Linked DNA regions of Kluyveromyces lactis. The main gene of each other region encodes a partner of the protein of the gene in region 5 in a complex. Links are inferred from orthologs where the notes say so. Each region holds a gene or a part of one and is shown on either strand. Other genes may lie near its edges.

The links.
Region 1: RPC53 (region 5) and RPC17 share a complex: the UniProt entries of both Saccharomyces cerevisiae proteins name them as parts of the RNA polymerase III (Pol III) complex. The link is inferred for Kluyveromyces lactis from reciprocal best matches to the Saccharomyces cerevisiae genes RPC53 and RPC17.
Region 2: RPC53 (region 5) and RPB8 share a complex: the UniProt entries of both Saccharomyces cerevisiae proteins name them as parts of the RNA polymerase III (Pol III) complex. The link is inferred for Kluyveromyces lactis from reciprocal best matches to the Saccharomyces cerevisiae genes RPC53 and RPB8.
Region 3: RPC53 (region 5) and RET1 share a complex: the UniProt entries of both Saccharomyces cerevisiae proteins name them as parts of the RNA polymerase III (Pol III) complex. The link is inferred for Kluyveromyces lactis from reciprocal best matches to the Saccharomyces cerevisiae genes RPC53 and RET1.
Region 4: RPC53 (region 5) and RPC11 share a complex: the UniProt entries of both Saccharomyces cerevisiae proteins name them as parts of the RNA polymerase III (Pol III) complex. The link is inferred for Kluyveromyces lactis from reciprocal best matches to the Saccharomyces cerevisiae genes RPC53 and RPC11.
Region 6: the proteins of RPC53 (region 5) and RPC37 are in contact, whole or in part, in a cryo-EM structure (PDB 7Z0H), measured with the Saccharomyces cerevisiae proteins. The link is inferred for Kluyveromyces lactis from reciprocal best matches to the Saccharomyces cerevisiae genes RPC53 and RPC37. Residues at the interface, in NP_010131.1 of Saccharomyces cerevisiae: Arg195, Ile196, Gln198, Leu199, Phe200, Leu223, Ser224, Glu225, Lys226, Leu294, Lys295, Met297, Asn298, Asn299, Lys300, Pro301, Glu302, Arg303, Phe304, Met305, Val306, Phe307, Gln308, Leu309, Pro310, Thr311, Arg312, Leu313, Pro314, Ala315; in NP_012950.3 of Saccharomyces cerevisiae: Ile71, Glu72, Glu73, Phe74, Pro75, Leu76, Lys77, Ile78, Glu81, Glu83, Ser84, Leu85, His86, Val87, Phe88, Gln89, Tyr90, Ala91, Arg93, Pro94, Arg95, Leu96, Val97, Arg99, Ala102, His104, Tyr112, Trp119, Asp126, Gln128.
Region 7: RPC53 (region 5) and RPC34 share a complex: the UniProt entries of both Saccharomyces cerevisiae proteins name them as parts of the RNA polymerase III (Pol III) complex. The link is inferred for Kluyveromyces lactis from reciprocal best matches to the Saccharomyces cerevisiae genes RPC53 and RPC34.

The regions. Positions count from the first base shown.
Region 1 is NC_006042.1:2,114,253-2,116,669, reverse strand, and holds RPC17 (DNA-directed RNA polymerase III subunit RPC17), read left to right. Parts: upstream 1-1,449; coding exon 1,450-1,917; downstream 1,918-2,417. Other genes in the region: CRH1 (transglycosylase), read left to right, coding at 1-1,140; VTC4 (Vtc4p), read left to right, coding at 2,145-2,417. UniProt on the Saccharomyces cerevisiae protein: DNA-dependent RNA polymerase catalyzes the transcription of DNA into RNA using the four ribonucleoside triphosphates as substrates. Specific peripheric component of RNA polymerase III which synthesizes small RNAs, such as 5S rRNA and tRNAs.
Region 2 is NC_006040.1:610,602-612,790, reverse strand, and holds RPB8 (DNA-directed RNA polymerase core subunit RPB8), read left to right. Parts: upstream 1-1,251; coding exon 1,252-1,689; downstream 1,690-2,189. Other genes in the region: putative iron-binding protein ISU2, read left to right, coding at 1-443. UniProt on the Saccharomyces cerevisiae protein: DNA-dependent RNA polymerases catalyze the transcription. of DNA into RNA using the four ribonucleoside triphosphates as substrates.
Region 3 is NC_006042.1:96,875-101,130, reverse strand, and holds the start of RET1 (DNA-directed RNA polymerase III core subunit RET1), read right to left. Parts: upstream 2,801-4,256; coding exon 1-2,800. Other genes in the region: TFIIH/NER complex subunit TFB2, read left to right, coding at 3,475-4,256. UniProt on the Saccharomyces cerevisiae protein: DNA-dependent RNA polymerase catalyzes the transcription of DNA into RNA using the four ribonucleoside triphosphates as substrates. Second largest core component of RNA polymerase III which synthesizes small RNAs, such as 5S rRNA and tRNAs.
Region 4 is NC_006042.1:1,707,819-1,709,998, forward strand, and holds RPC11 (DNA-directed RNA polymerase III core subunit RPC11), read right to left. Parts: upstream 840-2,180; coding exon 501-839; downstream 1-500. Other genes in the region: HEM13 (coproporphyrinogen oxidase), read left to right, coding at 1-53; ORC2 (origin recognition complex subunit 2), read left to right, coding at 1,216-2,180. UniProt on the Saccharomyces cerevisiae protein: DNA-dependent RNA polymerase catalyzes the transcription of DNA into RNA using the four ribonucleoside triphosphates as substrates. Component of RNA polymerase III which synthesizes small RNAs, such as 5S rRNA and tRNAs.
Region 5 is NC_006039.1:1,432,947-1,436,017, reverse strand, and holds RPC53 (DNA-directed RNA polymerase III subunit C53), read left to right. Parts: upstream 1-1,356; coding exon 1,357-2,571; downstream 2,572-3,071. Other genes in the region: rRNA-processing protein SAS10, read right to left, coding at 1-953; autophagy protein ATG9, read left to right, coding at 2,986-3,071. UniProt on the Saccharomyces cerevisiae protein: DNA-dependent RNA polymerase catalyzes the transcription of DNA into RNA using the four ribonucleoside triphosphates as substrates. Specific peripheric component of RNA polymerase III which synthesizes small RNAs, such as 5S rRNA and tRNAs.
Region 6 is NC_006042.1:1,291,499-1,294,134, reverse strand, and holds RPC37 (DNA-directed RNA polymerase III subunit C37), read right to left. Parts: upstream 1,260-2,636; coding exon 501-1,259; downstream 1-500. Other genes in the region: GCN3 (translation initiation factor eIF2B subunit alpha), read left to right, coding at 1-440; DBP7 (putative ATP-dependent RNA helicase), read left to right, coding at 1,907-2,636. UniProt on the Saccharomyces cerevisiae protein: DNA-dependent RNA polymerase catalyzes the transcription of DNA into RNA using the four ribonucleoside triphosphates as substrates. Specific peripheric component of RNA polymerase III which synthesizes small RNAs, such as 5S rRNA and tRNAs.
Region 7 is NC_006040.1:383,854-386,688, forward strand, and holds RPC34 (DNA-directed RNA polymerase III subunit C34), read right to left. Parts: upstream 1,593-2,835; coding exon 501-1,592; downstream 1-500. Other genes in the region: NNR2 (NADHX dehydratase), read left to right, coding at 1-368; putative ATP-dependent permease ADP1, read right to left, coding at 1,880-2,835. UniProt on the Saccharomyces cerevisiae protein: DNA-dependent RNA polymerase catalyzes the transcription of DNA into RNA using the four ribonucleoside triphosphates as substrates. Specific peripheric component of RNA polymerase III which synthesizes small RNAs, such as 5S rRNA and tRNAs.

The DNA.
Region 1 (2,417 bases), on a different chromosome or scaffold from region 5:
ATTATGTTTGGTAAAGTTCAAGCGATTGCCAAGGCTGCCGGTGGTCAAGGTATTATTTCCTCATTCTATTTGCAAAGTGATGATCTTGATGAAATTGATATCGAATGGACTGGTACTGATACTACTCAAGTTCAATCCAATTTCTTCTCCAAGGGTGAAACTACTACATTTGACCGTGGTGCTTTCCATTCGGTGGACGATCCTCAAGGTTCTTACCACAATTATACCATTGATTGGACTAAGGATGAAATCAATATCTATGTCGACAGTGCACTGGTAAGGACTATCACCAGTGACAATGGTCAAGGATACCCAGAGTCTCCAATGCGTATTTTCACAGGTATTTGGGCTGGTGGTGATTCCCAAAACGAGCCCGGAACCATTGAATGGGCAGGTGGTTTGACCGATTATACCAAAGCTCCATTCAGCATGTATTTGAAAGACGTTATCGTTGTTGATTACTCCACTGGTACAGAATACTCATACTCAGGCACCGATGGTACTTGGGAATCTATTGAAGCTAATGATGGTGAGGTGTATGGTAGATATGATCAAGGAGTAGCAGATTTCGATAAGTTAGCTTCTGGTGGAAGCGTATCAGACGACACTTCATCTTCATCCTCCTCATCCTCCACATCTTCATCTTCAACCAAGACAAGTGCATCTCCATCTACATCCAAATCTTCATCCACTTCCTCATCCTCATCTTCATCCTCATCCTCATCCGCATCATCATCATCCTCATCCTTATCCTCATCCTCCCCCACTACGACTTCTAAATCTAGTACCACAATTCCAACTACTTCCACTGAAAGCACCTTGAACACAACTAGTGCTTCATCTACCAGTGCTTCATCATCCAGTATTACTGCATTGAACACAACATCTTCCTCCACTTCCCTATCATCTTCTTCAACTCAGTTGAATACAACTGAATCTCTAATAACTTCCACGGAAGAACTTGTGACCACAGGTTTCTCATCTTTGGTCACTACCACCGCTGCTGACGAAGAGATCACATCGTATGCCACTGGCGAGACAAGCTCATCAGCTGCTTTAACATCCACACAGTCAGAAAACGCTGCTGCTTTCAATTTACCGCAATTGCTTGCTATCATTCCAGCACTTCTACTTCTCTAATAAATAGTCATTTTGTAATATAAACTAACCTCGTTGAATTTTAATAGGTGCATCTTAATCGCTATGGTACCAGCATCAGCCATGCAACTGGTATGCACAAAGCAGGATACGTATACCCTGAGCACTTGTTTCGTTCATCTAAATCATGATACACGGGATTATTTTTCACCGCTTCGAATATATTGAAAGCCATGCAAAGAGAAGAGATGAGCTGAGTTGAGATCAAAGAGTAGCAAGTAATAAAGACTGTATCGGCCTATACTGAATTATCCAAGTAAAAAGCTTCTCATATAACAAAATTCCAAGAAAATGCGCGTGCTTGAGGAAAAAAACGCTTTTATGAGCGACTACGAAACTTTGCAGTTCCTCATATCATTACAGAATCAACACCGATGGACCTCTGGATCAAAATCAGACAGGAAACACAACAAACCATACTACCATCCAGAACTGCAAACGATAACCAGAGACACGGTAAGGTACATAACACAGCGTTCCACTACAGCAGAAGACCCAGAAGAACCAGAAACGTCGGACAAGACCGTACCCAATAACGCCAACAAATCCACACTGCTGAACCTAACTACAGACCAATTCTCAACACTAATGCAAGAATTAAATGCTTTCCCACTATACAAAGCAGAAAAACTACAAATAGTGAACCAATTACCAACAAACTTGGTCCATTTGTATAGCATAGTCGAAGAGTGCGAATCAAGACTTGACGAAGGTCAGGTGACCTCGCTTCTCGAATGCATCTCCCGCACGTGCCTCTAATTATTATACACCATAATACAATATCTATAATGTTTAAATGCTTGGAGAAAAAAATCACATATAACAGACCGAAATACAATGAGAAAAAAGATCAGGAACATGAGTTTCAATGTTTCCAAGTGACAGTATAAGGGAAAAAAGGGATACCCTAGAATAAAGTAGTTATCAGGGCTTCTGAGTGGGTTAGACTTGCATCAGGACCTTTGAAATAGCTGATACTGATAACGATGGTAAAATTTGGTGAACATTTGAAGCGATCTTTGATTCGTGAGTACAGTTATTACTATATCAGTTACAATGACTTGAAGACGGAGTTACAGGAATCCTTGGAAGCTAACAACGGAAAATGGAACGAGGATTTGGAGACTCAGTTTTTGGAGTCCTTGGAAATTGAATTGGATAAAGTGTACACTTTTTGCAAAGTGAAGCATAACGAGGTAGTGCGTCGTATCAAGCAAGCCCAGGAACAAGTTTCTGTCGCTGTGCGTTCTTTGGATACA
Region 2 (2,189 bases), on a different chromosome or scaffold from region 5:
CAACTGCTCCTACCGTCGGCTCTAGTCCTTCCATGGCCTCTGCTAGATTTTACCATCCAAAGGTCATTGATCATTATACAAACCCAAGAAATGTTGGGTCTCTAGACAAGAATTTGCCAAATGTTGGAACGGGTCTTGTCGGTGCCCCAGCTTGTGGTGATGTGATGAAATTGCAAATCCAAGTTAACGACGAAACAGGAGTGATAGAAAACGTTAAGTTCAAGACGTTCGGGTGCGGGTCTGCCATCGCTTCTTCTTCATACATGACCGAATTGGTCCGTGGGAAAACCTTGGAAGATGCAGCAAAGATTAAAAATACAGAAATCGCCAGAGAATTGAGTTTACCTCCGGTTAAATTGCATTGTTCTATGTTGGCTGAAGATGCCATCAAGGCTGCCATCAAGGATTACCAGGCTAAGAGACCTACAACACAGTTGAAATAGAGTGTTAGAGTTAAGAGTTAAATTAATTAGTTAATCTCTAATTTTCTTATTGCTTCTCCGGCTCAAACTTTCATTTGTCCATTGAATGGACTTTAGCATACTCGTCTTTCCCTTAATTCTTTTGGTTTGACTTACGATTTTCCCTCGCATTTTAACTCCACTACAAAGTTAAATCGAACACTATATTTTTCCGAATATATCATACAGTTTCTGAAAGCTATCTAGGAGAGCTAAATTCCAAGATTAGGTACTTCCATTTATCGTGCCTTATCAACTGCCCATGATTCGTAATTTTTTTTTTTTTTTGGCTACCCTTTTTTTTACAACAGTTGTTATCTAGTGTATAACTAACATGTAGGTTCATTCATCATTTGTATTATAATCATCCAGACTGTTCCGACAAGCGTTTCAACTAGTTGCAGAGTTGAGCGGACCGTCTCTCTGTATCCTGGATTCTTCGGACTTCTAAGGGATGGCAAATTGATTAGCGTTACCCGAAGTTGTTTCTTTTACCCGGACACATATTTTTTTCATGGGCAAGAAAAATCTTGAAAAATTTCGTTGTAACTCATCGCCTGAAGGAACAACTGAGAGACAGACAATCATATACATGTGATGCGCTTTCGATTCGGCTCACTGTAGATAGTCTCATATCAGCAGTGAAATTATTAGTTTGAAACCTTTCATACCCACTACAGACTCTCCGATAAGTTCCCTTCTTTTTCGTCTCTCATTTGTGTTCCTACTGGCCCACCGACTTTAATAACTAGAACCAACACAACAGTACTCTCATTTACCAACACACGTCATGTCATCGGCACTATTTGATGACGTTTTCACCGTTCAAGAAGTGGACACAGGAAGATACAACAAGGTCTCTCGTATTGAAGCTCAATCGACTTCACAAGAATCCTGTAAGTTAACATTGGATATCAACAGTGAATTGTTCCCAATAAAGACTCAAGATCAACTTGCAGTCATGATCACAACTTCTCTCCAACTTGACGGATCGGAGGAACCTCAGGGTACCTCTTGGAGAGCACCACCTGCTGGAACCAGATCTCTTGCAGATGATTATGACTATGTCATGTACGGAACTGCCTACAAATTCGAAGAAGTTAAGGGTAACAAGGATTTGCTTGCAGTATACTATTCATTTGGTGGCTTGTTGATGAGACTTGAGGGAAATTATAGACTTTTGAACAACTTGAAACAAGAAAACGCTTACTTATTGTGTCGTAAGTAAGAAATCTTGTGGGTACTATATATCATAGTCAAAATAGAAAACCGACAACTGTATAATAGACTTTCAGGTCAAAGCTCTGGTTCTTCACTCCTCCGGAAGCTACGGCCTTTACTTACACCTCTCCTCATATATTAATGCATTTTTAACTTTCCATCTTAGCTTCCTATCTTCAAACTGTTCTTACTTCCAGTCACCACAGCATAACGAAGTTGCTCTTTCTTTTGCTCGAGGATTCTTCAATTCTGTGCTTCTTTGTATAAGAGGAGATACCATAGAAACTGTTAAAGCCGTCTTTTTTCTCGAAAATAGAAAAGTTAGGATCCAATGACCTCAATAAATAGGGTTCGGCCATTGCCAGTTGATGGCAAAATATTCGAGACGGGCGTTGAAGGAGCATATTAGCAGTAGATATATAAATATAGAAGAAGGTCTATTTTGTTAGGTTACCCATATACAGGGGTTATTAGTGTTCAATCCATATTTTTTTTGATTCTTTGGCG
Region 3 (4,256 bases), on a different chromosome or scaffold from region 5:
CTGGTACTACACCTTGATCGTTGAAAGGAAGATCTTCTTGTTTTACGATGATACCACAGACACCCTTTTGACCATGTCTCGATGAGAATTTATCACCCAATTCAGGTCTTCTGTTTTGTCTCAATAGAACTTTGATCAAAGCCTGGTCATTATCAGAAACTGACATCATAACTTGATCAATATGAGAAGGTTCTGGAGCTCTATATACCACTGGAGTCTCCTTGTACTGAGCTTGTGTTTGAGTTAGAATGCTATCCGACGCATTAGTTGGAACAGATTTATTGACATAAATTTGTCCACTTTCAACCTTCATTCCAACTTCACCTAGCCCATCAGGGCCTAATGCTTGGTGTTGCCATATAGGCTCACCATTTTCATCAACTCTCATACCACCAATAATATCCTGAGTATGATTTGGATATCTCTTCAACACGGTGGTGTTCTTACGACGAGTTTCACAACGTCCAAAACCTCTGTCAATGGACGCTTTATTTAAAACTAACGCATCCTCGATATCATAACCGGAGTAGGACATAACTGCCACCGTAGCATTTTGACCTGCCGGAAGTTTATCGTAATCGATCAATTCAATCGTTTTGGTTTTCACCATAGGCTGTTGAGGGTATATCATTAGATACAATAAGGTGTCAATTCTTTTGAATTGATTGTATGCAATTGCACCAATAGCCTGCTTACCCATCGCACATTGATAAGTGTTACGTGGAGACTGATTATGGTGAGGATATGGAATCAAACCAGCAACTGCACCTAAGACAGTAAATGATTCAATTTCTAGATGCGTAATATTCTCAGATAGATCTTTTTCATATAATGCAATGAACGAGTCGTTTTCTTCATTAACGTCGAGATACTCGACTAAACCCAGTTTTAAGAAATCATCGAATTGTAATTTTCCAGCCAGAAGAGATCTTAAATGGTCTGCAGTAACAGAAGACTGCCCGTTCGAAACAATTATCAACGGCCTACAGATTCTTCCTCCATCAGTAGCAATATGAACTGCTTTTTGATGTGTATTGGTATATATAGAGATGAACTCTGACGCTCTACCAGTTCTTCTTAAACATCTGAATTGAGACACAAACTTTGTAGGAAATCTAGTTGTCCCTATGATTGTACCGTTTAAGTAGACACCATAATTTAAATGAATTGAAGCACTGTCAATTAAACTTATGTCTTCCACACCCAACAAGTAACAAATCCTCTTTATAGGCTCTTCTTCATCATCGGTGGTGATATGGGTCATTAATGCCAAATTTTTAACCAAACCACAGGCCTCACCTTCTGGAGTATCTGAGGTACATAACATACCAAATTGAGAAGGTTGTAGGGCTCTAGGACCTGAAACTTTTCTAGATTTCTCAAATTGAGAGGATATTCTTGTCATCATACCTAATGCTGAAATATAAGAAAGTCTGGATAAGACATGTGTAACACCTGCTCTTTCCATCTTGAAACGTTTCAAAGACCAGTTACCAGTTGAAATTGCACGATTCATACCTGTAGTAATGTTGTTGGAATGTACGTTAATGGTTAGTAAGGCATCATACATTTCAGCACGATTTGGTTTCTTTAAGACTTTATCGATGTTTGCCTTGAAATCATTATTGAACTTTTTGAATAAATCTTCAAATAACAATGACATCAATTGACCAGCCAATTCTAAACGCTTGTTACCAACATAATCTCTGTCATCAACCATCTTTGGGTTATCTATAGCCATTACGACTCTACGAGTCATCATTGCAATGTATAATGCTTTTTCTCTAAAGTCTAAAGCTTCCACTGTCAGATGAGCAATGACTGTCGTAGCGATGGCCTCGATACCTTCTTGCAAGATGGAAAGTTTCTGTCTTCTGACAGTTTTAACTTTAGTACCAATGAATTCTAAGGCTTGTTGTTGCGTGTATATTTTTAGTTCGGCAGCTTCTTCGAGATTCACCGCGAAGATATCTTGATAACTGCTATCATTACCACAAACTAACTGCATGATTTCTAAATCAGATACAACACCACAAGCCTTCAAAACAACTACAATTGGAACCTCTTCTGCGATAGAGTTATGTTTTAAGTATATTTTATCATTCTTGGTGACTACGTAAGTCTTAGATTTTCTTTCGTGGGTGGAAGATGTAACAGAAGCTTGTACGATGTTTTTCTTCTCATCTGCTTCCACAATGATACGATTCTTAGATAATTGTTCTTGAACTAAGATGACTTTTTCAGTACCATTAACAATGAAATATCCACCTGGATCTAAGGGACATTCATTTAATTTGGCCATATCATTTTCTGCTGCACCATCTAATATACATTTGTTTGATCTCAACATTATGGGCATTCTACCGATCTCCACATCTCTATGCAACACAATTGATCTTCCTCTGGTGTATTCAATATCAACAAAGATAGGAGTACTGTATGTCATGTCTCGTAATCTACATTCATGTGGTGGGGTCATAATAGCTTTGTTGCCGTTATGTTTGTATCCTACTCTAATGTCAATGTACTTCAAGTAAAACTCTGGATCGACATCAGATAATATAACCTCATTAGCTTTGATGATCTTCTTCAAATCAACATCCACAAAGTAATTAAAAGAGTCCAAATGCTGCTTTACTAACCCTTTCACCTTTAAAAAGGCAGGCAAAAGATTCCATTTATCTTCGGCAGTGTTGATCTCGTCAGTCAGCTTTTTACCTTTGAAGACGGGTTTCAAAAGAGCATCGAACGCTTCATCTTTTTCATAGCCATCAGGATTATGGGAGTCAGTGTGGTTCATTTTAGAGAATATTCAATCAGGATATTTGAAAGCTACCCTTTCCAAACTTAATTAGTGTTCCAAACAGTTAATCAAACAAAATATCTAGAAAAGAGGCAAAAAGACCAAACAAAGCTACTCTACTGAAAGTGAAAAAAGAAGGAGCCAACCAGTAAATTTCACTTAATCAAATCTTTGTTGAGGTCAGCAAATCAGTACAGTCACTAACTGCCAATAAATGCACTTCTCTTTGTTTCCATCAATATTGACAGAGCTCATCTACATTAATCATTGGCGTATTTCGATTATTTCAAATTCGAGATGAGCTTGATTTGATCTTTTTCATTTTCCAAAATTGATCTGACAGAGTGAAAAGAAATTTCTTCTGTCATCAACAAATTTTCAGTCACGTGCAAGATACATTTCTTCGTGTTACATGATATATATACACGTGACATATATTTTACTTTCAATATGCGAATGTCTGGATTTGACATGGTATCAACCTTAAGTACTATTGATTCAGATGAGCTTTTCCAAATCGGATATCATGGATGCATTGCATCGTTCGAATGCAGCAAATCGTATTAGGCTGAAATAACATTATCGATTGACGTGACCAAATTGTTGATCTCCTCACTTGGTTCTAATCTCTTGCTATTTCAAGAGGCCTTGAGCTGCATATTTTCAATACTATGAGTCTGAATCTTTTCAAGACCACCGTTAATGACTACCTAGAAGGTCTTCCAGAGCAAGTCCAATCAAGATTATATGAGTCTCCAGCGACATGTTTGGCAATTTATAGATTGCTTTCTCCCATGGCAAAATTCTTCATTATGTCGATGCTGTTTCAGGACCACGATGTCTCGCTTAGAGATTTAGATAAATGGGTCAAGCCAGATGCGAAATACCAGTTACAATACTCTATTAAATCGATGAAATCCTTGAATCTTATAATAGAAGGTGAGAGTAAACAACCTCTATTGATTCGTTTGAATCCAATTTTCAAGAAATCTTTCAAAAATGTATTAACTGGTGGTGAAATCAATAACTCTTTTGGTGATGTTGCGGATGATGATACCAATCCCGTATCTACAGCTACTTTGGACCAGTATAGTGCAGAAAAGTGGGAAACAATCTTGCATTACATGGTGGGAACACCGAATACAAACACTCCTGGTGGAAAGGTTCTAGACTTATTGCAGCATAGTGGTCTAATGGAAGAGGCAGAATATGGCGAACTCAAAATTACTAACCAAGGTTTCCAATTTCTCTTGCAAGATGTCAATGCACAGATGTGGACTCTTCTTCTTCAATATTTGAAGATGGCAGAAAGTTTACAGATGGATCCCGTGGATGTTCTAAATTTCATTTTCATGCTAGGTGCATTACAGCTAGGGAAGGCGTATAAGTGCGATCAACTAAGTAATACGCAGAGAACAATGTTACAGGATATGAGAGATTACGGATTAATCTA
Region 4 (2,180 bases), on a different chromosome or scaffold from region 5:
CTAGAGAAGATAAATTACTCCAAGTATTGAAGAACCCTGTTGAATGGGTTTGAATGCCTTTATTTATGTAACGTCTCATGTATTTAATTCTTAGTTTCTAATGATCTTAATTTCTTACGCTTCAAAAACCAAGTCGGTCGTTAGTACCATACAGCGTTGCACGAAATGGTTCTGTCAGGCCGTCGACAATACTTTTATTTTGTCTTGTTCAATCTATTTGTAGATTTATACATTATATTACACTTTGATTCAGAAGAAGTTTCATCAAACCCTAACAACTTCCTTTTGCGAGCCTAATGAAAGCGTGATCTACCTTTCATCATTTGAAAGATTAAGCATGCGTTTTTAGCTGGGCGAGAGACAAATGGCAGCGATTAAAGCCGAACATTTATCTTCTTGTCAGTTTTTTGCTCTAAGCGATGTAATAACTGCTAAGAAGATCTATAATATTTTGTTTGATGCGTATCGAAATCAAAGTAAATTTCAAAAATACACAATCTCTAGTTCTCTCTCCATTTATGACCACAGTTAACACATTTGTAGAAAGTTGTCATAGGTTCATCTGCAGATCTGATTTGCAACTGGAAGAAGTAAGCTCTTTCACCCGCACATTGGTCATGGTTCGGACATTGTGCTGCTGTCTGGTCAACATTATCCCATGCACCTTCTCCACCTAAGACATCATCAACTTCTTTCCTAGGGAGGTTCTTTCTATCGTATACCTCTATCCCATCAATTAAAAACTGGTATGGGCATGATCCGCATGCTAGTTTATACAGACCTGAATCAGCTTTTGATACCAACAACATGTTATTGCATAATGGGCAAAACGAAAGCATCCTACAACTTAATTCTCAATGTCAGACTCCTCAAACACGATACGTTAACGCACCGTTACCTGCCCATAAGCTCCTTCAACACGTTATCGCATACACTCTAAAATGAACCTCATCGCTATAATTATTGAGAGTAGGTTTTAATTCTTTCCTCATCTCATATAGAAATTTTTCAGAAAAAAAAAAGTAGAGCTTCATGCCTTTAACTTTGAATCGATATTTATGTTGACATTTAAGGTTTGTATGTCAAATATAGTGTATAGGGTTAATACCTGTGGGCGAGGTTTGATAGAAGAACAACTCCCACATTTATAAGTTAGTTTCCATTCTCTAGACTTTAGAGTATTTGATTATCTTGGAGCGGTTAAACCTTGAAAACATGACGAAGAAAGAGTGCAGTGATAATGAGGAAGAAGAAGAAGACATTGATATTGTAAATCACCAAGACATTTTCATATCACCTTCCAAAGTAAGATATCAGTCACCGAAGAAACTTAAAAGTTTTGATTTTCTTTCGCCTTCCAAAACGGTACGACCTAAGTCACCCAAACGATCGCTCACATTAGAGTCTGTTAGCATTGAGACTGAATATAAAGATGAAGAGAGTAGGAAGCACTCATCGACAGATACTGCAACTCCCAGGCGAAGGCAAAGGAAAACAACCAAGAGGGTGAAGTTGGAGGAAGATGATGCCATTGACTATGTGTCAGATACTAATGAATTGATACACAATGACGACGAATACGAGGATCTAAAAATTAAAATAGATTCTAATGAAAGCTCACCTAATAAGTCGCCTAGGAGAAAACTTACATTTAATGCAGAACCATCACCCCAAAGAAAGACTACCAGAAATACAGTTCAAAGGAATAAAATTATAGACGATGATCTTGCATACGACGATATCCAGCAGTATAAGCATCTGAAATTGAACTTGAACCCTAATTTCAAACCGACTAAGTTGCCAAAGAGCGATAATAATGACCAAACATCTGATGAACAATCTCAAATATATTTTTTCGATGGTTTCGAAGGTTTCATAGATCAGACCAAGATCCTAAAAACTGATAAAAGATCCAAGAACTCGATGTCCTCGGCACCAAGTATTTCCAGAGATGAATATAACATTCTTTCTCAACTTTCCAATGATATATTCCATCGTTCATCGACAAAGGCAGTACAAAAAATACATGAAACACTCTTTCAGCAGTTTACTTTCGAGTTACTGCAGGGATTTACGTTATTATTCTATGGTATCGGATCGAAGAAGAAATTCCTCGAATCATTTGCATTCAACTTTCTTTCTATGAAGATCGCCTTGTTGCAAAACCCGGATATTCAAAA
Region 5 (3,071 bases):
TCAAAGCGTATTGCTTCTGTGTCCGGTAGTTCGCTAGCTTGTCTCCAAATTTCTTTACACTCCAAAATACGCTCCATTACCGGATGATCTTTCATAGAAATGAAATCTTCGTTATTCTGTAATTCATATAAGAAAACTGCAAAATATGAACTAATTGTTCCAAGATATGAAGATAATGCCATAATTTTGATCTGAATCAATTCATTATTCTCCTCAGTTTGTTTGAGTTTCAGCTCGTCTAAAACGGGTGATAATTTACTGAATTCCTTTGATAAAGGAAGGTATTCTGGGAAGGATGTCTTCAAGAAACCTTCCTTTCTCTCTAAGTCCATGTTGAGAACATCCCTAAGGGAGATTTCAGTAGGACGTTCTTGATCCTTTTGATCTTTAAATTGACCTAAATCGAATTCCTTAGCTTCTTTTACCCATTCTTCATCAACTTCATCCTCAAGATAGTCTTCCATATGAAGGTCTTCCAAATGTTTCTTCTGTTGGCGCAAAGCTTCCTTTTCTATCTCTCTTGCAGTCTCTTCATCGTCCAAGTCATCGGCACCGTAGTATTCTGCCTTAGAAGCACCCCATGCGTTCTCATTGTCCAGCATAGTACCACTCTCTTCTTCTGCATTCTCACCAACGTCTAATTTCCTACCAAAAACCTTCTTATACACAGCTTCACCTGTTAATTCTTCTTGTTCACTTTCATCATCTTCAACTTCTTCACTTTCATCCTCACTATCTTCATCTGACATTCCCATCACTTCTTCTTCTTCATCCACTGAAAGATCAAAATCATCTTCTGGTTCCCTTTGATCAAGACCTGCGTCCTCAAGTAGCACTTTTTCTCTCTTGTTTGCAAAGTCATCGACCTCATTCATGCCATAGGCAACATCTTCTTCCTGGTCTTGTCTACGATTAGACCCTCTTTTTGAGACCTTTGCACCTCTCTTTGCCATATTTGAAGTACAATGTCCAGTACAATTTAAGTCCAACTCAATATACAGTCGATTACAGCGGCTGATAGTAGTTACCTGTTATGCAGCTTGTCATTCTCTTAGTTATACCTATTCTCTGAATTGAGATGAGATGAGATGAGCTTTAACTTTAAACAAAATTTTCCAACATTGCTTTTTCAAGATTTTTCACCAAAATTGAAAGCTGCACTACTACTGGAAGAGATCACAATGAGATGAGCAAAGTTGATGCGCAAATAGTCAATGCAAGGGTTAGTATCCAGTAACTAGTCTTCGTTTTCATATTAGGATTTGCTGTTGAACGAAGAAACGGTCGAGAATCGCAGTATTAAACGCTTGAGTCAAGAAGTTATTTGCATCAAATTGTGATAGGAATCAACTAAAGATGAGTGGACGTTTACCTGGATTGAACCAGGGGAAACCATCAACCGGAACCTCGCTGAAGTTTAAGCCCAAAGTGGTAGCTCGTAAATCTAAGGAGGAACGAGATGCTAACGTTCTGAAGGTAGAAGAGCCGAATAAACAGGTTGAGAAGAAGAAATATACACAGAAACCACAGGGCAACCAGAAGAGGCAGCCGAAGTATTTAAACAACACAAGAATTATCACATCAGGCCCATTGGCAGCTGGTAATTTCTCTGGAGGATCTAATAAAGGGAATAATGGATTCATTAAGACGGAGGGTTCTCAAAGCAGTCTTGTGCAACGCGGTTTGAAAGCTGTTTCTGATGATGAAGCAGAGGGATCGGACGCAGAAGATTCAAAAGCTGGGAAGAGAATTAACATGGGGAAAGAGTATACAGAGGCAGACTTCAAGAAGGAAACTGACGATCTGTTTGATGAAGATGAGGATTCTAATACTGATGCAGCCATGAGTGAAGAGACCAGAGCCTCTAAACAATTGGCCAATCTTTTCCCTGTCAGGGCAGTTCGTATCAATCACGAAAAGGTGGATTCTCTACAGAAAGTTGTCCAGGAATCCATGTCAACTTTGCAGACCAGGGAACCAACACCAGGACCTGTGAAGCTAGAACCAGAACAATCGGATGGTACTTTAAATGACATAGTGAACGAGAAGGAACAGCAGTTAAAAGAAAAACTGCGTTTGCTTCAACTTCAACAAGATTTCCAATCTGTTGACAGCGCAGAAGCTCTCAGGGAAACAAATTTGTTATTTGAGGATCATAAACATATGTACAAAAAGTTAAACAAGATTAACGACGTTCCAAATAAGTTTATGTTCTTCCAGTTCCCATCAAATCTACCTGAATTTCAGCCACAACCCCCAGTGAAATCCACCGAAGAAGATGTAAAGCCAAATGGTGAAGCAAAAGTAGATGAAGGAAGTGAACAATCAAATAGTAAAAACAGCAAAGAAACACAAATAGATTCACCTGAGCCTTTGATCGGAAACGTTGGTTCAATTAGAATGCATCGATCCGGCAAAATGTCAATCAAGATCGGGGACGTCGTAATGGATATCAGCAGGGGCGCAGAGTCTACATTTTTGCAAGACGTGGTTACACTAGATTTGGAGGGAGAAGAAGCGGAGCTACTAGGCCAAATCGACGGAAGAGCGATTGTAACACCACATATCTAATTATATAGATTTCTGCATGTACATGATAGTTGAAGAAAAAGCTCAGCAAATCAATTCGTATGATAACATTAATTTAATGTAGACAACTACATCAAGAATGGGAGATTCAAATACCACTGCGAACACAATCAGCAGCTACTGCATAGTAACCTAATAAAGATGCATCGCCTTTTCAGGTTATAATTCCTGAAATCAGAATAGTCATTAAGTACGAGTTGATGTTTGGATATGCAGGGCTCCATTACAAAACTTGTTCATGTATACAAGGATTCCCTTAAAAATGACTTCAACAAACACAAAACAAGGTATAATCGAAAGGACACTACAACCATAACCTTACCTCTCACGGTATTTAGTCAGTTGATTGAATCAACTTGAAAAGTTTGGATCAATAAAATTTTGGAAGTCTGAGTTATGACGGATAGTCAGGATAAAGTAAATGGTGGATCCAAGAACACATTTCTATCAAGAGTGTTTGGTGTGCACTCATCTGCTGTAGA
Region 6 (2,636 bases), on a different chromosome or scaffold from region 5:
AAGGGTTGCAACTGTATCATTTACTTAAAAAGAAGGGTATCCCAGTGACAATGATTGTAGATAATGCTGTTGGTACGATCATCCATAAGGTAAACAAGATCTTTGTGGGAGCCGAAGGTGTTGCTGAATCTGGAGGTATTATCAATCTAGTAGGAACGTATTCTATCGGTGTCTTGGCGAAGAATGCAAGGAAACCATTCTATGTGGTTAGTGAGTCGCATAAGTTCGTACGTATGTTCCCTCTTTCGTCAGATGATATTCCAATGGAAAGAGATCCATTAGATTTTAGCAAAAACGGTATAGAAGACGATGAAGAACCATTGAGTGGGCCTTCTGTCGACTTTACAAGTCAAGAATACATCACAGCTTTGATCACTGATCTTGGAGGGTTGACACCTAGTGCTGTTTCTGAGGAGTTGATTAAGATGTGGTATGATTAAGGAGAATTTGATCCCTTCTCGGTTTAATATATATTTATACTTACTAAATACGATAATTAATTAAAATAGTTTTGATAGATACACAGCGTCGTTGTCCATTGGTTTTAATGGTACAGTACTTTTTTCACTTGTAACTTCTTCTACAAACGATTCGAAAGTATCGTCCTTCCATTCCAAAGGTTTGAATTCCTCTTCGTCTGCTACCTTATGAGCTAGCAATGCACCTCCTAGTCTATTTTGATTCGCTTCGCTGCTACTCTTCACTGACATTGTTATTACCTGGTTTTTCTTGGCAGTTGGATTCGCAGGTTTCGCCTTGGCATCCTCGTCCTTCTTAACCTGTTGATGCGAATCGATGTAACGGAAGTATGGTCTCATTTGGGCAACTTTCTCTACTGGTATTAAATATAGCTGTCCTTGTTTCATAACGCCTGCGTATTGCAACATGTCGTTGCTTACAGCCACACCTTTCAAAGTTTGAACGTCGACATTGTTCCAAGACTCAGCAGCTTTTTCTTTGTCGAAGAAGACCTGTGTATTCAATGGGATATCTATCTCCCAAACGCTTGATTCATCCTTATAGCGTACACCAGCAATTGGAGGATGTTCATCCATATTCTTCGCCAGTCTTTTAGGTTTGTTAGGAAACTGTAACACATGCAATGGACAAGGTCCAACCGTTAAATTAATGGGTATTTCATTCACTACTGGATCGTCTTCTTTAAGAATCTCTGATGATTGGAGCTTCTTATCGAGTTTACCGTTCCCATTCATCTCAGTATCACCGTCCTCATCGGTAACAAACAAACCATTAGACATTTTGAGACCACTGACACCCTCTTACAGATACCTGGATAGAAACAGGACAATAGTTGGTTGTACAAGTGGTTCAACACTCATTAGTTGTACTAATGAGTGAGCCTTCTCATCCGAAATGTCAAAATTTCAATCGATGCGATGAGCCGTGTCTTGTGATCATTGAAACAAGAAGAGAGAAGCGTCTGTAAAAGGATGGTTTATCACCTTCCAACTGGTTCCATACCGGCTGGGCGAGTATTTCATCACCACCTTATTAATATTTGTCATAAGCGACTTTTGTCTCTGTCCATCTGCCTTTCTACGTGTATATAATATGCTTTAACATTAAACTTCAGACAAGGTTTGTAGAATTGAATCAGTAATGAAACCAAAGAGATATCAATTTCAGCACATAACATGACCTGTACATAGCACGAACCACTACAGTGTCAAATGTCCAGTTCAAACGATCCTGATAGTCGCCAATCTAACTGTATTTTATCCAATTCTGTGAGTATTTACCTTTGTATTGCTTTTTCTTGACATCAAGCATAGAAAATTTTAATATGGAAGTAGGACTTAACTGTGCGATGAGCTGACATTAGATGAAGTGAAAGTCTCTGTACGTCGCTCAGCAGCCCATATCAACGATCATCAAGTAGGTAAAGATGAGTTTCAATGATGACGATGATGGAATGCTGTTAAATTTTACAACTGACGTTAGTGATGCTAGTGAAACAGTCAGTAGAGGTAAAATTACCGGTGGTAAATGGAAGGACAGGAGAAAGGCCAAAATGATGATGGAAGGTCGTAAACCGAGGGTCAGGGGTGAAAAGAGACCATTAGAATCTGATGGAGCACCAACTTTTGAAGAATTGGAAGCCTCCTCTTCGAATTCAACTTCGGCACAGGCACCTGTAGAACCTAAGAGATCAAGATTTGATAACAGTTCTAATGTAGAACAACCAGCTAGGGTAACGCAACCATTACAGCTAAACTCGCAAATCGTTTCCTCTTTGTTCACGTCCAGTAGAAATATTGACACAGTTACCAATAGTAATGCTCATGATGAAAAAGCCGAAGTGACTTATTCCAATGCACCATTGGTTGGTGACACCTTCGATTCGTTCGGTATCACTGACACGATGGTTTCACACTTAAACGTCAAGATGAAGATTTCTAAGCCAACTAAGATTCAGAAGTTGGTTATCCCACCATTCTTACAAGCACAAAACGACTTGTTTATTCATGCACAAACTGGTTCTGGTAAGACATTGGCGTTTTTATTACCAATTTTCCAAAGCATACTATCGTTGGGTCAAAATATCACAAGACAATCTGGATGTTTTGCACTTGTAGTTACACCAACAAGAGAATTGGCCAACCAAATTTATCAAG
Region 7 (2,835 bases), on a different chromosome or scaffold from region 5:
GTATCACTGTTGCAAAGGGACAAAATGACATTATCGTTAATTCTCAAGGTGAACGTTGGGAAAACGACGTTCAGGGATCTATGAAAAGATGTGGTGGTCAGGGTGACACACTGACCGGTATAATCGCAACCATGTTTGGTTTCTCTCGTGCAGTGCATGATTTCAAATTGGAAACAATAGTAGAAGAAGGTAACGGAGAAAATCTTCCTTGGTCCAAAATGGCTATGCTATCTTGTTTCATCGGATCTACTGCAACAAGAATGGCTAGCAGGGCTGCTTATGATAAGGTAGGCAGACAATTGCAAACTACTGACATGAACAACATGGTGGGAGAAGTGTTCAATGAGTTATACCCTCCTTCACAGTGAACCACTGAGAAAGAAAAAACAGACTCATAAGTTGAACGCTTTTATTATTAGTTTGTAATTAGTTCTTGGCATATATACATACATCAATTACGAACACTCTTTTTATGACTAAATTACCTTTGCATCTAAACTTCACAGCGTCCATTCGTCAAAGTATAGGACATCTTTATCTGAACTGGAAGCTGCCATGGAATTTCCGTGACTGAATATAGAATATTCTTCTCTTTTCGAACTTTGTTGTCCCCCAACAGGTTGAGTCATCTGTAAGACACTTTGCAACGTTACTCTGAAGCAATCAAAAGATACTTTCTCCAACTTATCGTCATATACAAGAACTTCGCACAGTGATCTAATATCTGGTTTCGTTAGTTGTTCTGTAGATATTCCTGATTCAGAAATAAATTCAAGGATCTCTTCGATCGTGGTGTAACTTTTGACGTTACTGGAATAGAGTGCGTCTCTACCGTTTTCGTCGGAAAAGTTGTTAAAACCATTTGGATATGTTCTTTCCGCTGTGAATCTCCAAACGATGGTCAGAAGACTGTTTATAAACTCAACGTCCAATTCACTATCTGTGAACCACGGACCACCTGTTACGTCAATGGATGGTTGCAAATTGTAAAGCATGTATATCTTTCTGGTTGGGTATTTGACACTCTTTACACTCTTTACGTACCTCTGTGATTCAAGTGATTTTAAACATTTCAGAACCACATGTTGGTGTAAATTTGTCTTCGCCTTGATCGTTTTCGTCCATATACCCTCTCTTCCACTAGCTTCGATGTATGAGTAGACAAGAGCCTCATCTGAGCTCATCCCGCTTTTCTTTTCTGCTTCAGCTGCATCTACTGCTTGGAACTTAAGTTCTTTATTCTGTTTCACTAACTTCAATAGATTCTTATCCAAAAGTTCCTGAACATATTGCATTAAATCACTTAACGAGCAGTTGTCTAACATGGAAGTTAACTCTTTTTGAGAGAACAATTTACCAGTTTCTTGAGAACACATCTTCTCATGCAGCTCTCTGGCTGGATCAGAGAGCTTTATTGTTGAATTAAATAACGAATTCATTATCGGTTTCGAAGGAAAATACACCGTTTGCGTTCCTAACAATAATAGAGGTAGGCCTAAATAATGGTTCAATAGATCAGTTTGTAAATTTGTCAGGCGTCTGACTCTTTCATCAATTATTAGTTCGATAAGTTGAACCATTCCTCTTCTCATCGCGTGCTATTATTTTGAGCTTTGATCAGTTTTTTTTTTTTGAATCCATTCCAAAAGAAAAGCGGCAAACAGATGGAAGTTATACACACAATATAGTCAATGGAGAACATAAAGAGATCCGATACATGAAAGTACTTCTATCAATAAATGAACTTCCCTGTACTAGGCTTACGGTAATAAGAGTTGTATTCTTTTGAATATATATGAACTTTCAGTATTAAATAGATTCTAATTTTGTGTTTGAGTGGCTGTTCGTCACTCTTTTTATAAGCTCCATGATTTTTTGATCACTTTTGCTCAATAACTATCAACTTAAGAGCGAAATAGCCGAATATTAGGAATATGACATTGAATAGCGCTAGTATTTTGACATCGAACACTAGGTTTTGTACGATGAAACCGAATGTGCTTAGGATAGTGGCACCTGGGATTTCAATATTGAGACCATACTTCTTCTCTCTAAGAACCAAAGACTTGACTTCATTGATAATCAAAGATTCGTAGGCGTAATAGAACACTGAAAGGTTCTTCAAATATTTGAACAGAATATTGTTAATATCCTTAGTGTTGATGAATAATCCACTGAATAACAAAGAACCAAGGATTATCAAAACACTGATTATAATCGAGTTATTCAAGTCTTCAAAAATGATACCAACTGTCAAAATCTCCAGTGAGATGGCAAGGTTGAATAAGATTAGAATACCTTCAAATTTGAAGAACCCATTATCATTCATATTTAAACCAACCAAAGGATAAAGTATTAACCCAAGTAGGATAGGTGGTACCACACGTAATGGAATAATATCAGATAGTATTTTTGAAATGTAATACGCTAGCGGAGAATAGTAATGATTGGAACGTTCCTTGATAAAAATCAATCTTTCCAAAGAGAAGGAGCTTAACCCAGTGAATGTCAGGAAACCGAAATACGTTAAAATAAAGAAGAAAAGGCCTAGTCTGTTTTGGAATCCACTGATATCGTTTTCAACATTATAGTATAGGATACCCAGGAATAAACCCAAAGCTACCGTCAAGACGTAGTTACCTAACAATAGCTTTGGATTCCTGCAGACATTTTTGAACGTTCTTGAACTCAAAATTGAGAGTTGCTGCAAGAAAGTTGCCGCTTTGTATGCTTGTGGAATTCTTAATTCTTCGTTTATACCGGCAGACAAAATTTCATTAATTTCAAACTTCAGTTTCTGGAAATATGCACCATCTTTGAAAAGAGAATGTAATA